Tribolium castaneum: one gene and its partner. The protein of the gene in region 2 binds, or shares a complex with, the protein of the main gene of each other region. Links are inferred from orthologs where the notes say so. Each region holds a gene or a part of one and is shown on either strand. Other genes may lie near its edges.

Evidence for each region. Proteins that work in one complex are often made in the same cells at the same time.
Region 1: PolE1 (region 2) and PolE4 share a complex: the UniProt entries of both Homo sapiens proteins name them as parts of the DNA polymerase epsilon complex. The link is inferred for Tribolium castaneum from reciprocal best matches to the Homo sapiens genes POLE and POLE4.

What each region holds. Positions count from the first base shown.
Region 1 is NC_087395.1:5,461,087-5,465,200, reverse strand, and holds PolE4 (DNA polymerase epsilon subunit 4), read right to left. Parts: upstream 2,049-4,114; 5' UTR 1,941-2,048; coding exon 1,728-1,940; intron 1,678-1,727; coding exon 1,537-1,677; 3' UTR 1,521-1,536; downstream 1-1,520. Other genes in the region: E3 ubiquitin-protein ligase Hakai, read left to right, coding at 2,345-2,552, 2,604-2,791. UniProt on the Homo sapiens protein: Accessory component of the DNA polymerase epsilon complex. Participates in DNA repair and in chromosomal DNA replication.
Region 2 is NC_087396.1:21,698,932-21,704,326, forward strand, and holds part of PolE1 (DNA polymerase epsilon catalytic subunit 1), read right to left. Parts: coding exon 5,238-5,395; intron 4,849-5,237; coding exon 4,655-4,848; intron 4,603-4,654; coding exon 4,069-4,602; intron 4,022-4,068; coding exon 3,754-4,021; intron 3,570-3,753; coding exon 3,396-3,569; intron 3,350-3,395; coding exon 2,909-3,349; intron 2,500-2,908; coding exon 2,134-2,499; intron 2,062-2,133; coding exon 1,655-2,061; intron 1,606-1,654; coding exon 735-1,605; intron 1-734. UniProt on the Homo sapiens protein: Catalytic component of the DNA polymerase epsilon complex. Participates in chromosomal DNA replication.

The DNA of each region.
Region 1 (4,114 bases), on a different chromosome or scaffold from region 2:
GGCAGTCGAAAGAACATAGATATTTATGGTGATTTTTATCAATACGTCCTATACCTATCTCTTACAGTTTTTGAAAAAAATCACAAAAAAAACGGATTTTACTTCGTAATTTCCATACTTAATCAAGTAGACCTTGCAAAATCGTAAGCAATTGTCAAACTTCCATATATTTTATTTAGTTTTTAGGTGGTTCGAATATCGAATAAGCAGTAAAACAATAATATTTAATTATGGTTTCTTGATTAATAGTAAAATTTTATCGTATTTTTCGAAAATTTACTTGATTAAAAATGAAAATAATGAGCTAAAATACTGTTTTTTGATAAAAACCATTGTGGTGCAAATGACTAACCTGTTACCATGACAACTTATGTAAATGTTAATGCCAAGAGTACGTTATTTGCACCACAATGGTTTTTATGAAAGTGAACCGAATATATATGTTAATTAGTAAAAGTCTGCATAAAAATAGATGTTATTTTGATTGCCATTGAAAACACAAGGTCATTCCATTTGAAAAAACTGTTTTATAATCATTTTTTAATCATCATTTTCAAAAAATCCTAGTATTCTTGCAATTTGACAGTTGACAATCCTGAATATTTTAGAAAATTCTTCATACCTTTGGCTATCAAATGCAAAAAGAATTATTTACTTATTGTAAAGGGTTTACAAGCTGTGATATTTTAAATGAACCCCTGAAAATAAAAATCTGTGTAAAAAATTTGACGTACGTCAAAAACTATGACAGATAAGTACTAACAACTACTCAGTAACATTTTACTCAGTTTCAAGTGGCGAAATGCAATAAAAATAGGTGGTTACTATTTAAAATTTCAAAGTTGGCGCCAATTTTTCGTAGTTCGTAGCTATTTTGAAAATAATTTAGTTGAACTCAGAATGGTCGATTTGGATTGTATACAAAATCTTAAAGCTCTAGCTATAAGAAGTTAAAAAGTTTCTAATTGTAGGTCCTAAAAGAATCAGCATGTTATATGGGATAATAAAAACGACATGGCAATATATCAATTAGCTAAAATGTTATGGACCGATTGGACACCCCTGGTTTACCCTGTATATGACTTTATTTGAAAACATATTTCACCGTTTTGTGAGATTTGTTCTAAATAAAGTGGAAACTTGTTAGAGTAAATCTGACGCAAATATGTTAATTCTATTACTCCTATTATTTTTCGAGAATTTTGCGAGTGTTCTTCAATTAGAAACTCACTAATCTAGAAATACATTGGCAAAAAAGAGAAAACATATGAACCTACGTCGAATATGTAAATTCAAATGATTTTTCCGAAGCTAATTGGAAAATCCTTAATTTAGTTAGGTTCTCTATTGTGAATTTAGAAACATTTTTCAGTGAAAATGAAAGGAATAATTTGCCGAAAAGACAAAAAACTTCCAAATTCGAAAAGAGATCTGCTATTTATTCTTTGTTTTTTTTTTAAACATAACTGCGAAGGCGCAAACACGAAAATAGGATAAGATTTACCAAAATTAACTGAAAATAATCTTAAAAGTATTTTATTCCAAGGCACCATCAAGGAAACAAAGACTAGGTATATTATCAATTGCGGCATCGACGTCTCGCTTCTGTACAGTTTTCCTTTTCCCCATCCCCATAAACTTGCCAGACTCTTTAGCAAGGTGCTCCAGAAACATCTCCTGAAATTTTAATTGAGTACCTAAGCTAACACTCAAATTTTTTTTGTTACCGTTGATTTGGTCACGAGAAATAGGGCATCTTGACTCACTAAATTACAGTCTGGGTCCATTTTCATAATGTGTTTAATTCTAGCTAGGGGTAGTTTCACTAATTTGGGTTTTTCGGGGGATGTTGTGGTTAATTCTACGAATTCTGGCGTTTCGGTAACGGGCTGCCTCTCAGTCTCAATCTCTTCTATATCCACTTCGTTGATATCTTCCATTTTATTTGTTAAAATTTTAAATAAATACCACTCAAGTTTCACAACATAACCTCAATCGCGCGCTATTCAAAGTCAGGTAAGGTGGTTACAAAACGAAATCCCCCAAATTATTTAAAAAAATTAGTAATAAAATACAATTTTGGCTTAGATTGTCTCACAGTTGTGTTATTTTTATGCGGTATATTGATAGGGATTGATAATTTTATTGATTAAGTTAATTTATTGCGGTTTGTATTCAATTTTGAATGATGTACCAAGTGGATTGGTATCCCTTCATTTGACAAAGTCTTAACCTCAAAATTATGGACGCTCTTACGTCAACGATCAAGTAAATAAAAGGTAATAACTTTGACCGCATCTATTTTAGTGTTTTGTTGGGTTTGTTGCAATAACTCTGCCCATAGATGGACGATGGTACCCCCAAGAGGGGCCGCGGCCGGGGTCGCGGTGGTCGAGGCAGAGGTCGGGGAAGAGGCCGAGGTCGCGGACGTGGTAAAAAGGCCATAAAAGTGATAGAAAGCGATGAAGAACTGGATAATTCCCAACTGCAAGAATCGTCCGAAGAGGCACAACAAACTGAAAGTGAATCTAACGAAAATGTGGCACCTAAAAGTAAATTTAATTGAATTAAAGTCAGCCTTGAATGACAATTGAATGTTATAGTTGATTTGGAAGCTGACATCTCCCAACTGGAAGCACCGACTTTTACAACAATTAACAGAGGGCCACCAGAACCAATGTTGCGGCTAGATTGGTCACATAAAGTGAATTTGATTGGCGAAAAAGTGCTCAATCCCATGATTCATTGCTGTGATAAGTGTTTGAAGCCGATTTTAATCTATGGACGAATGGTAAACTCTTTATTTTTAATACATTTTCTACTAAAATATCCGCAAAAATGTACTTAAACAAGGCTTGATCATTTTAAATCTAAAAACGGGGATTTATTAAATTTTAATCAAATTGCTCTGTAACTAGAAATTAGGTTGGCAACAGTGGCTACCAAAATCAAATCTCACATTTTTATCCACTTTACTCTGCGCCCTCTACTGAACGATTTTGAACCGCTTTTTTTGAAATTTGATTTTTGCACAAACTGCGATATTTTTCAAGATATAACTGATATAACTGATGCAAAATTTGGAATTTCAACTTCCTGCCACCTAAGTGGGCAACAGTATACAGGGTGTCCGTTTTTCCAGCTTTACCATGGGGATCTCAGTTATTATAAGAGATACGAGGTTGGTTAAATATGGGCAAAGTTGCGCATTTTTATGCTAAACAATTATCTGAAAGAAAATTAGATGTGTGGTTTTTAGTTTTTGAATTGAGAAAAATCAAAAATTTATAATTTTGGTTTTTATTTTATTAAGCGCAAACAAAAAAAACTTTGTTTAACAAACTAAATTTTGACTGTTCTATTAAATATGAGAGCAGAATTTTTATAACTTTGTGTTGTTTTGTTTTTCGAAGAATAAACTCCTAGTTTATCATGTCGTTTAGTTTTTAATAAGTAAGCTTGACGGATATGTAAAAGTGCTAGACCCAAATTCAATTAAACTTCTAAAATCTAGTTTGTTTAAAACCAAAATTGTTGGCGTTTTTTTCCAAAGCACTCTTTGCAAAAATGATTTTTTCTTCATTTTGATCAGTATACATGATTCATTTATATTATGTGATACATCGTTGTAACCGGAAATAAAAACACTTTTTAAAAATAGAAAAAGTGAATATGGCTTCCATAAGAAAAAAAAAGTTGAGTGTTGTTACTCTGACATCAAGAACGCCTTGAAAAATGGAATGACAGACTTAGATTTCTTGTAAAAAAATTTCTGAACAATGTTCTAGTTCTAGTTCTTTTGGTTTTCCCTTGAAAAATTAAAAACGGAAATTACAAATTTCCAATTATTTCCAATAATTCAAAAACTAAAAATGCCACATCAAATTTTCTTTCAGATAATTTTTCAACATAAAAATGCACATCTTTGCTTTAATTTAACCAACCTTGTGTCTCTTATTATAGTAACTGAGATCTCCATGGTTGAGCTCGAATAACGGACTCCCTGTATAAGCTGTTTCAAAACTAACTGTTTCAAAAAAACGCCAACGTCGCATTTCTCTCAAAATTAGCTGTTATATATTCATGCACATCAAAAAAATAATAGCTAATGTAA
Region 2 (5,395 bases):
GATCGTTTTCCGAAATTCTTTTAATGCGTCTGTCCATGTTTATAGTGGTTTTTCGTGGTCGTCCCGATTTTGGATTATTGTTTAAATGTCCTCTTTCGTTGTAGCGAATAATTATTTTAGACACGCTGTATCTAGGCAGTTGAAATCTTCTTGCAATATCCGCTTGTTTTTCATTGTTTAAGAAAGCATCGATCACTCTTTCTTTCAACTCTTTACCAATTGGTGTACCCGTTGGCATGGCTCTTGTTGCGCAAGACGAACTGTTAATATTGGCCTAACAAATTTTTCATTATAACAACATTTTTTGAAAAAAATCTAAATGTTGCCTTACTTTTGTCGTCTTAAAATAATCCTTTTTTACACTACAAGTCAACAAAGCGGTTTTTTTCAACCTTAATAAATAATTACTTGACATTAATGACAGTAGCTTCCTTTGATTCTTTTAACAATACCATAGTTTGCCCGATCATAATTTATTTACATTAGATAGACATTAATTTCTATATTTTTCAAAATGTTGCCTTACTTTTGTCCGATAGTGTATTAAATAAAAATAAAAATGTGAAGATTGTTTTTTTTTGTTTTAACCCTAGAAATTTTTAGTAAATCTAGTTTAAAGTTTCAATGAGAGAACTAATCATTAATGACTATTTTGCGTTTTTATCAATCTTTATAGTTTATATTTTTATAGTTTTGAAAGAGCTGATAAGCCACTTTGTAAATCCAGTACTCACTTTGCCATTCGTTCGGCTTGGTACAACTTGTTCAAATTCGGCATCAAGTTGGTCTTGACCGTATCAACGACCACAACCAGCGCCTTCTTCAAGGGAGTCAAGAACAACCCGAAGATTTGTTGCGGTTTAGTTGGGTGCCGATGATTATAAAAGAACAATCTTTTCACCGAATCCTTGACCAAATATTGGTTTCGCGCCGTACACAACTCCAAATTGTCCAATGGGAAGCTTTCCAAGCTTGAAACCTGTCCTACCACTTTACACAAGCAACCAATCTGGACAAAAGTGCGAAACAGCGGCGGCACTTGCGTCTCGTAAACGCCTTCAACATTCGGATCCGTCTGATCCAAGTACAATTTCCGGCCGTGTTCCTGGAACACTTCTTCGGGAACACTGTACATGTACAAGTTGTACACTTGTCTCGTACGCGGCAACGTGCGGTTACACTTCTTGAACAGAGCGCCTTCTTCCACCACTTTTGATTCCTTCAAGTTGGCGTAGAAAATTCGCGGCACTACCAACTTGATTTGGTGGAGTTCGTTGAGTATCAGGGCCCATAGTTTGTATTCGCCTGCGACTGGCGTTGGGGCCACTTGTATGACTTGCCAAGGAACCGTCAGCAGGGTTTTTTGGGCTTTTTGGAGGAACCCGCTCAAAGTACCAGTGACGGTGCTGCGCAAAACTGAGGCACTTGACTTGGCCTTCTTCCTGTTGCGGGTGCCTTGGGCCCGCTGCATGGCCTGGAACAGCCACTTGCGTTTCTGGAACGTTATCCAAGCCAAGTGTTCCTCCTTGGTGGTACCGTAAGGGGGCGGGTTCCCCATAACTTCACGCCACGTCTTACTCAGATCTTCTTCAGTGAAACCTGATTCTACGGAAGAGTATAATTTAGGAAACAATTGCGCTCACTGGCAGTAGACCTGATTCTTTATCGGAGTCTCGTTTTCGTTTAATTGTTGTTACAATGGGGCGTTTGTCGGTGCTGGAAGTACCGCCAAAGTCCTCAATGTCGGGCAGTGTTTGCGGTTTGGGACAAGCGGCAAACATGTCGGTGATTCGACGTTGCTTGAAAGTGTCGTTTTTTTCGAGCATTTTTTTGTGCAGCCAATCAGGGTGGCGGACACGTGGCACCGGATTGGGCACTCCTTGCATGGCCGCCGGGATTGTGATGATTTTCTGGATGGCACCACCGAGGCGCTCAATGTAGTAGTTCCAGTCCAAGATTTCGCGAATGTCGACTTCGTTTATTGAGTTGTCCTTGAGCCATTTGCGCAGGTAGTACCGCTGGACGCTGACTTCCGATTGGAAAATCGCCAATGGAATAGCTCTGCAAGTTCAACTGTTATCTACAGGCGTCCAAATGTAGACCAAATTTTTGGATGGACGAGGGATTTTTCACCTTTCTGTAACCGGAGCGCCATCTGGTTTCTTCGAAATGACATACTTGCAAGCCAAACCGGCATCCTTGACCATCTGATCGCCCAAAAATTCGGCCAAACGTTTGGCGGTACTAATTGAAGTACTTTTCTGGCCGCCGTATTCTTCGAGTTTCTTCGACATGGATCGGTTTTCCGAAATTAAGTCGAACAGCTCAGAATCGGGCATGTTACGACCGTGCGAAAACAAAACATCTAACCAATAATCGGCGATTTGGGCAACGGCCGCGTAACACGACTCCAAAGTGTCGCCTTTGAGGAACGCCTCAAACACCGACGATTGGAAGTTTTTGATCAACTGGAGTTCGCCGCGACGTTTTACCTCAAAACTATAAAAAAATATTTTTTTCGCCAATTTTATTACTACGGAGGACTACAAGTTAGGAGACGAAACGATGTACAAAATCGCACGATTTTCTGAACCAAAAAAAAAGTATTTTTTCAAACATTTTTCTTGCTTCTGTAACCGCAGAGTGCAAATTGGTAAAAGTTTTTTTTTTAAATATAGTATACTATACATATTTTGCATTATGTTAATGTCTTACTATTGAGAATTTAATGCTCTATCCACCTGTATTTTTTGTTTGCTGTGTGTTAACCGTTAGACACAATAATTTTTTCAAATTCTCTGAAAACTTATACTGCGCCCTCTGGCGACATTATCGGAAGTATGGAGGGCGGAACGTTTTATCCGTACGTCGTTTCACATCCTAACCTTTAGATATCCCTAGACCCTACCCTTTTAATTCGGCCAAAGTACCGTCGAAATTAAAGACAGCGTAGCGCTTCTTCAACTTTTTCCCCTCCTCCTTAGACGCCGGCAGTACCATGGCTTTATAGGGCCCATCAACTTCGAAAAAAATCGAGTTTTCTGACCGTTCCTCGTACTTTAAACTTTGCGCATCGACCAGTTCGTGGTACTGATCGTTGGTGAAGTGCTCCTTGACCATGGCATTAAGCACGGCATTAGGATAAGAAACCACAATTTTATTTTTTTTCTCGTGGTTGGTACGCACGACGAAATTTTCGGGAAACGAAGCCGGTAGAATACACCATATACCGTCAGTGTCAAGTTCCAAAGGCCTGCCAACCTTTTCGATTATTTCACGAGCGCGCATTATAATGTTGGCGCCCGTGTAACACACAATCCCCGCCATTTCCATACTGTGCCAACGCGCCCTAAAAAACAACTAGAAAAAATGCAAACAAAGAAAAAACCACCAACCCTCGTCTCATCACGTAGCCATAAAACGAATTCAAAATACACTTATGGGCCAATTGCAGCGAATCGTAGAGCACTTCCCTGTTCTTGGCCGACTTGATTTCGGACGCGTCGCCGCCTTTGATGGCCGCGGCCACGGCCTGCTTTGCCTTTTTCGACAAGCCTTTATACTCATACCTACACCAACCAAATCAAAGCAATGACATTCAAAACAGTAAAAGAACTGTAGTAATTCAAAGTTTGTTTAAAAATACATGATTCAATTAATATTTAATGACTTTTTCGCCAGAATTTTTTTGTTGTGGATTTGAAATTTATTTCATTTATTTATGAACTTTATTTAGGGCTTTAATTAAAATACCTTCGATCCCGAAATGCCCGAACTGTGTCGACATAAAACGAATTCTCTTTCTGGCAAATCGTAGTGGTCCGTTCTTCGATTTTGGTGACTTTAGCTTTCTTATAAACCTTGCGACAGTAAACAGTGAGCCGTTTCTTCTCCAAATCGGCTTGTTCCTGTTTGGTGAGTTGATGGAACGCCCGCTGGGGTCCCCCGGGATATTGCGGGGGGAACTTCTCGGTTTCGAGTTGTTGCTGGATGCGGTGGTACTCATTTCGCGACGCTGGCACTACAAAAAATTGACGAGTTGAATAAACGATTTTTTCTCCAACTCACTGTATTCCGCTCTCCACATCCAGGCCATATTTCTCTGGCACCTGGCGCCCAGTTTATTATAATCGCAGGCGGCGCAAATTGTCTCGTCGACGATGGCACACGGCTGTAGCCGATTGGTTAGGATAATGTTCGGGTACATGGCCCCCACGTCCAAATGGTAGATTAACGGACGCTCCAATCTCATTGGTTGTTCCTTCAGGCTTGTCAGCTTTGCGACAATCTCATTGGTTACTTCTTCAAGGTTAGTGACGTCGGTCAACGGCACGCCCTCTTCGATTTCAATCGCGTGTGCGAGGGTTTTGGGCACTTGCTCGATTAGTTTGTTAAGGGCGTCGGTTTCTAGCCGAAAACGGCAGGGAATATCGGCGCGGAAAACCCCTGATTCGAGCGCCTCCACGTGGCCGCCGACGTAAGTCTCCTGGTGTAGGACATGACCGTCGTCGGTTAACTTATTAAGGACTGTTTCCTCCTTATTGGGGAAAATGATATTGCAATGGAAGGCTTCCACCATCAAAAGGGCCTCACAAAGGGTGCCTAAAACCCGCCAAATGACGAAGTTGGGACCAAGGGCTGGGGAAAGCCTCACCGGAGCCTTTCCGCAAGACCTCGTCCGGCTCACAAGGGATGATGGTACAAAGGGCGAAAATAAAAGGGTGGACGTACTGCATGTAGAGATAGTAGGTCGCAACGGCGTCCGAAACGGAGTAGTTTGAGAGGACCTGCGGCTGGGAGGCCGCCAAAGGACACATCTCCTCGGGGTCCAACTCCACAGGGTCATACCTTGACCACAAATATTAAAATAAAATTAAAATTCACCAAGGAGTTCGCTTGTATTAACTCATATTAAAAAGAACTTTTTTAAGAGGGCTGGGTGTCATCACTGTAATCTAGTGTGTGATCTGTCAACAGCATCAAGTCGTTTACTGATAAAGCCCGAATAATTAACAAAATTAAGAGGAAACAACAAAAATAGAAAAAGTAGAAAAAATAATACACTTGTTTTATAACTTTTATAAGACTTAACACTATTAACACTCCTTCCTCGTGCTCCAAAACTATTCGTGTCACAGTAGAATTTCTTATAAAACTCATATAATAGAAATTAGCAAACTGTATTACTGACGTCTTGACTTTAAAATTCTTGTTTGAATGTAATAGTGGTTATTTACCTCAGCTTCGCCTTGGCCACCGCCTTTAAATTATGCGACCCAACGGGTAAATAAGAGTCCCTTTTAACCCAACACAAGCAGTCCATATGAATTGCAGGCCGACACGAATAAACATCATTTCTATCCTTGGCAAAGCCAATCTCCTGTTTCATGTCGAG